Linked DNA regions of Xenopus tropicalis. The protein of the gene in region 2 interacts with the protein of the main gene of each other region in a biochemical or structural test. Links are inferred from orthologs where the notes say so. Each region holds a gene or a part of one and is shown on either strand. Other genes may lie near its edges.

Evidence for each region.
Region 1: the proteins of eif4g1 (region 2) and eif4a1 form a complex in vitro, tested with the Homo sapiens proteins (3 studies listed by IntAct, with this or other methods). The link is inferred for Xenopus tropicalis from reciprocal best matches to the Homo sapiens genes EIF4G1 and EIF4A1.

What each region holds. Positions count from the first base shown.
Region 1 is NC_030679.2:152,586,029-152,589,462, reverse strand, and holds the end of eif4a1 (eukaryotic initiation factor 4A-I), read left to right. Parts: intron 1-384; coding exon 385-494; intron 495-788; exon of another isoform or gene 789-929; intron 930-1,011; coding exon 1,012-1,155; intron 1,156-1,491; coding exon 1,492-1,629; intron 1,630-1,862; coding exon 1,863-1,952; intron 1,953-2,035; coding exon 2,036-2,115; intron 2,116-2,315; coding exon 2,316-2,460; 3' UTR 2,461-2,906; downstream 2,907-3,434. UniProt on the Homo sapiens protein: ATP-dependent RNA helicase which is a subunit of the eIF4F complex involved in cap recognition and is required for mRNA binding to ribosome.
Region 2 is NC_030681.2:99,792,801-99,796,456, forward strand, and holds part of eif4g1 (eukaryotic translation initiation factor 4 gamma 1), read right to left. Parts: intron 3,514-3,656; coding exon 3,414-3,513; intron 3,337-3,413; coding exon 3,234-3,336; intron 2,364-3,233; coding exon 2,116-2,363; intron 1,506-2,115; coding exon 1,381-1,505; intron 1,302-1,380; coding exon 1,129-1,301; intron 465-1,128; coding exon 339-464; intron 135-338; coding exon 53-134; intron 1-52.

The sequences.
Region 1 (3,434 bases), on a different chromosome or scaffold from region 2:
TTGTTGGGTTGGGCCACTAATTGCAGCGTAGTACAGAAGTGCTCAGGGACTTGGATTGTAAGCTCTGTGGGCCAGAGTGTGCGGTATTAATATGCTCACTACCCATCAGCAAAGAGGAATCTGCCATAGAAGTGCCTATAATGTGTAGCTCCACCCCCCGTCACTGGGCAAGGGCATGTCACGTGGCATCGCTGCTTATATCTGGCGGGGGCAGAGAAACCTCCCATATTCATCCCAGCGCTGTGCCCCCATGCCTGCTGGCTGGTTCATGCTGTGGGCACAAATGCCAGGAAGGGGGGATCCAGCTGTGAGTGGGGCGGAGCATACATTGAGTACGTTGTCGCGTGGCGCCAGTGCAGCACTCACTCCGCTCTGTATCCGCAGCCCCTAAATACATAAAGATGTTCGTGTTGGATGAAGCCGACGAGATGTTGAGTAGAGGTTTCAAGGATCAAATCTACGACATATTCCAGAAGCTGAGCAGTAATGCCCAGGTAAGTGCCCGCAGCCTCTGCCTGATTGGCCTAACCTCCCCGGCTATAGTCCCACCCTCACGGGGCACGTGCTGAGCAACAACATCCTGCCCCGAGGTACCACATTCCCTCTGTCTTGTGGTTTGTACAATGCTGCACTGATTGGAGAACGACTCCCTGTACAGCCAATGAGAGCTCATGCCCTCCCCCTGTCATTTCCTCTCAGCCAATGAGACCTTATGCCCTCCCCCTGGCATCTATTGGCCAATAAGACTGTTCATGGTTGCCCCCAGACTCACTTTCCAATGGGGGCTCAGTGTAGTGATGATATCCCATGCGTGTCATCTGATGCCCACGTCTCTCTCTGCCCTTGGCCTGCGCAGCCTGCGTCCTGCGGGTTGGGTTTGGCTAGAGCAGAGGAGTCTGGGAAATGATCTGACTGTCTATCTGAATACTTGCCCCCCTTGGAACATGAAGAGGCAATTGGCTTGGTGCTGGGCAGTTAGTGGCTGCAGATTAACAGTGTCTTCTCCCCCAGGTGGTTTTGCTCTCGGCCACCATGCCCGCCGACGTGCTCGAGGTGACCAAGAAGTTCATGCGGGACCCCATCCGGATCCTGGTTAAAAAGGAGGAGCTGACCCTGGAGGGTATTAGGCAGTTCTACATCAACGTGGAGCGAGAGGTAGGTGCCTTCCTCTGGGTTCCATTGGCCCTGGGGGGTGGAGCAGTCGTTGGGATTGCACCATTACCCCCTCATAGGGGAAAGCCAATAGGAAAGCTTTAGTATATGGGGGGGGGCGAGGGTGGAAGGTGCCCCGTCACTGGGCAAGGACTGGTCTGTCTGTGACTGTGCTTCTTATATCTGGTGGGGCGAGAGCAGCGGCCCATATTCATCCCAGCGCGGCTCCTCTGTGCCTGACGGCTGGTTCATGCTGTGGGGACACTTGTAGTGAGGGAGGGGCCAGGCTGGATGGGGAGGAGCTTCCTTTTGCTGAACCCCTTTTGCCCCCCGATGCAGGAGTGGAAGCTGGACACATTGTGTGACCTGTACGAGACACTGACCATCACGCAGGCCGTAATCTTCATAAACACGCGCCGGAAGGTGGATTGGCTGACGGAAAAGATGCACGCGAGGGACTTCACTGTCTCCGCCCTGGTGAGTTTTGCCATCGGCCGCCTGTGGGGGTGCCATGATTGCACCCAACCCCCGTCACTGGGCAAGGACTGGTCATGTGACTATGCTTCTTATATCTGGCGGGGGGAGAGGAAATGATCCCATGTTCATCCCAGCGCGGCCCCCCCTGTGCTCGACAGCTGGTTCATGCAGTGGGGACACGGCCCCCTGGTGGTTTCTAGAGAGGAATTCTCACCCCCTTGTTCCCCCCCCAGCACGGCGACATGGACCAGAAGGAGAGAGACGTCATTATGAGGGAGTTCCGATCTGGATCCAGTCGGGTTCTGATTACCACAGATTTGCTGGTGAGTTGGTTGGTTCTGCTTGTGGGGCAACCCGCTTGGTTCTGCTTGTGGGGGTGTTCGCTTACAATGTGTTCTGCCCACAGGCCCGAGGCATTGATGTCCAGCAGGTCTCACTGGTCATTAACTATGATCTGCCGACCAACAGGGAGAACTACATCCACAGGTAAGTGGGCCGGCTCCTATTGGGCCAAGGGTATTCCCTCTCTGGCCAGTAGCCCATGCTGGTGTCAGAATGTAGACCCTTGGTATAGTAACGTCCATGCTCCACCGCGGTTCATGCTGCCTTTGTGTTCCGCAACTTAAACATGGCCGACACGCCGCTAACTGTGGCTCCTCCCCCTCTAACCTGTCCTGTTCCTTTAGGATTGGCCGAGGGGGCCGTTTCGGTAGGAAAGGAGTTGCCATTAACATGGTGACAGAGGATGACAAGCGCACGCTGAAAGACATAGAGACTTTCTACAACACCACAGTCGAGGAGATGCCCATGAACGTGGCCGACCTCATCTAACGCCCCCGCCGCAGTCGGAGGGGCAGAAAAACCCGAAAAAAACAGAAAAAAGCATAAAATGAAAATAAAAAGTCGGCCCCGGCTTTCTTTGGGGCATCCGCTGAATTATGGGGGTGTATAGAGCAATGACCATAGCGCCCCTGAGTGGGCGTAGCCTCCACTCCCTGTCACATGATCTGATTTTCTTTCCAATAAATGTTATTTTGAGGTATTGTGGCCGTAACCTGCATCCGTTGTTTCTTTCCTTCTGAAGTGAACACTAAACGTCACTTTTTCCCACCAAATCAGTGGACCAAAGTCCCCCCCAGCTCATCCCTTTAAGATCCGGCAGCTCAATGTGAGTTTTTTCTTTTTTTTTTTTTTACAAAACTCCCCAAAATTTAAAAAATACCATTTTATTTGCTTTTTCTGTATAGTATTTATTAAATAAAAATTTTTGCAACATAGTTTTGTCTCCTGTCTTAAGGCTTCACCCCCCTGCCCCCCAATAACCCCCCTTGTTTTATTACCCCCCGTGTAGGCGCTGTTTTTGGTGGGAAAGGATTTTCGGGCTGTGCTGCCCTCGCACGACTCAAGCGTCTATAGATAGATTGCGCCGATGATGGTTCCCGAGCTGCAATATGATTGGCCGTGGCACTTAACGCTTTAAGTGCTTGGCCATATGTCTCCCAGGTGCTCTGTTGCCTAGCAACGCATATTCCCTGTAGGGAAATAACATGGAAATGTATTCTGTGAATTGGTGACTGTGCCGAGCGTTACTGGGGGGGAGGGACATTCTCAGTTGGCTGGGAGCCCCCCTGTATTGCTCAGCCATGGTCCCTTATTAGGAGGGGCCCCATTTCCCTGCCCTAGTTACCCCATGCCTATTGCTATGTAATTAGTGCCCCTATTCCCATCAGCAGCTCTTCCTGCCCCGGTACATAGGGCATAACCTGCTAATGGGGCAGTTGGAATGTTGGTGGGATCAGGGTCTT
Region 2 (3,656 bases):
GTACATAATACTTCAATGACAATGACTGCATACTAACCAGGAATATACTCACCATGCCTTTGCACAATAATCCAAGGATTTCTGCCAGAAGGACTCCAGCTTTGCCAATGAGCACTAAAGGTTTGGTCAGCTCTCTAGAAGTGGAAGCACAAAGGTGTCAGATAAAGGAACTGAAATTCTAACCCACTTCTCAGTCCAAGGCAAACTGAATTCCCTTATCCACCCCTCCTAATCGTTAGTAGTACCCAAAACTTCTCTATAAATACTTGTTAAACCCGTCTACCTCCTTTGTCCACAGAGCCACTTTATGGAGTCATCACAAAAAAGATGAATCTTACCTGAACAGCTCCCCCATCGGAATCCCCCCCTCTAGCAGCACAGGGCTGATTATCTCTGCTAAATACAGCCAGATGTGGGGTATATCTATTTCCATATCTTCTGCTACTTCAAGAACTTCAAGCACCCTAAAAACACAAACAAAAAACACTGAACTGAAGAGACAAAGAGAAAGGAAATCAGAAGAATCTGAAAGCTTTATTCACCGAATGATTGACTGGGTAGTAGTTTTAAGAGACAGCGATATTTCCTACCAACTTGCTTTGATCTACTACTTCATCATTACCTTTTAGGTCCCCGACAGACAAGATTAGTAAACTCGCTATTAATCTCCTCTAGGGCAGGCGAATAATCTCAATTTACTCAAGGCACCACATAACTGTTTGGTTGCAATGTGGTTTGATTTTGTTTTCATAAGCCATTATTTTCTAATGTGTGATCCACTCTACCCTAAAATTTATCTTTACGGCATTTAAATTAGGCACAGATCTATCTAGGCAGCACAAATGGTATATTAGATTCTGCAATTTGCTTTGTGAGACTTCTACTCTGATCCAAAGTGCACTTCAACCATTAATAATAATTAGGGATGCACCGAATCCACAGACGGATTCGGTTATTCGCCTATTGGACAGAGTTGAATGGAAAAAATAATTACTACCGATTGATAAAAGGCTATAAGCACGTTGTGCAACGTTTATAGTGGCAGAGATACTTCACACAGCATGAACAAAGAACAATGGTACATATACACTCCCTAAATATTCACAGTGTTTACAGTGGCATACATACCCTTTGTAATACTGCTCCTTGGACAGAGTTCCTGCCTTTACTAACTGGTACAAAAGGAGACCCATATGCTCTCTGGCAATAGTGCTTCTCTCTAGTGTTGACTCAATCCCATTCCGCACAAAGATAAAAAGCAGCGTTGAACTATTAAGCTCCACTACACACTGAAGAGCTTCCTGCAAAACACAGTGTTTGTTAAAACCCTGTAAGAAAAAATTACAATAGGATAGGAAAATAAAGAGAAGGCTACTTCACCTTCATATCATTAATGTGCAAATATTCTTCTATGATGGCTTTAGATTTCTTCTCTAGCTCATCCTCAGACATAGAGGGCTTTGATGAGGCAACCACTGCTGTCGGTGCTGGAATTTCTTTTTTCACTGCAATATAATTATGATACAGTGAGAAGCAGAAAGGTGAGCCAGAGACAAAACTGCAGCCCTACCAGAGACCTATTCCTCTCCTATTGCCTCTTTTTTGCCAGCGACACACACACACAGATGGGAGGGGCTCCCATCTGCCCTCTTTAGTGTATGCACTGATGGACCATGCACTGGCCTGTCAATCCACAAGGGGTGGAGTTTGGTATAAAAATTCATAGCTTACATGATTATGTGCTGAAATCCACCCCATGTGCACACTGAACAATGTGTTCTGTATCTCAGCAATGTCCTGTAAGTAATTTTTTGCCCTAAGCACAAAGTGATCATTGAGGTGGCATGTAAAATGCTAGTGAGTTAGGAAATGAGACAATGTAATTAGGTCCATGCCATTTCCAGGACCTGGTTTCATAATAAAAATTATGTTTTGTTATGTTTTTTTAAAGAAAAGCAGTATCATCCCCAAGAAATCTGTTTCTATGGGTGATTTTCCAAGATAGTATCAATGGTACAGTTAGAACCCTAAAGGACAACAGATAACATAAGCAGCAAGAGACAACCTATTGTCAGATATAACAACAAATAAACGCAAAAGGCTGAGTTCACTTACCACTTTCTTTGCTGCGGTCCCGCTGCTCAGTCATACTTGCCACCTTCCTCACAGCCTCCTGTGGTATATGGGCCTCTCTTTCTCGGCTACGGTCCTCAGTTTCCTTGCTATAGCTTCTCTTTGTAAGAAGAGGACGAGCTCGATCTGAACGGTCAGATCTATCAAACAGTTCTCCCTTATCAAACCTTTCACCTCTATCAAATCTGTCTCCACGATCTTTTTCAGAACGTTCCCGACTAGAACTTCCCCTACAAACAAAATGATTTGCCATAAAGCTTTCCATACATGGGACAAAAAGTAACCAACTAACTGGTGTCAAAAATAATTATTCTCTGCACTGTTAGTCCTGACTACATATACATGAAACGATAATGCATTTGCCAGCTCCCAACAATTACACAAAGAAAAGGAAAATTATTTTTTTAAATTATTTGATTAAAATGGAGTCTTTTTTTATGCTATTTGGATTACAGAGAAAATAGAACCCCTTTCTGACATTTGCTCATTCAGCTTAATTTATGTAGAAAAGGTGCGTGGCCACTCAATGAACTTCCAGAAATAAATATGAGCAATATTAACATAGATATGCCTGATTCCAAAGATCCTTCTGCTTACTATAGTGTTTGGCACCCAGATTATCTAGAAAGTAGCAGCAGTCCCAGTATCCAGTGAATCAACATGAGGGAGGTACTGCATTACACTGAACCTAAGGGAGATGGGAAATTATTTCCTACAATCACAGGCAGACCATCACGGTTTCCTTTCAATCTGTGTAATCCGTAGGTATGGTTACATAATGTGTCTGGAATGTGGTACTGGTTCTCCCCATAACAGTAAAAATCACAGAACAATGTATCAGGTACAGAATATTTTCAGTTTTTCTTCAATAAGAATCAGGTAACTCAAGGAGCAAAGAGTAAACATTACTAGAAGCATATTTATATTAATCATTTTTGCAGCTAAATGAAAGAAGAAAATTCCTATTTTATGCTCTTTACAAACCATGCAGTTTTCCAGTGCAAACTCATTATAGCTCTTAAAGAAATGTTTCATATGCATATATAACACTACTATATTTTTTTTAAAGTTTTCAGCAATACACTGCAGTAAGTCCATACCGATGCAAGGGCCGTCTAGCATCTTGACTCTCAGCAGATGAAGACTGCTGCAAGGCAGAAAACCTGTTTAAGGTGCTGGTCGCAGGCCGACTAGATTCTGGAGCTGCAGTTTAAGAAGACATGGTTACACGCTACTCAATCGTTCATAGCTAATACTATGACGGATAAAATTCTAAGTACCTGTTTCTGCTGGTTTGGCTCCAGTTCCTCCGCTGCTTCCTTTACCCCAACTCAGACGTCCTCCTGGGGCAAGCAGTTGATTTGAATCAATAGCACCAAGCTGTGAGATCAACACAATATAACCAATACTCAGTGACTTCACTCAGAGCATGAAACTGCCAGTCTTCCATTTCTTCATAGAGCAACAGTTCTTAATCTACTACTTAACAGAGAGAAAAACAGTTTTGCACATTTCCATTGACT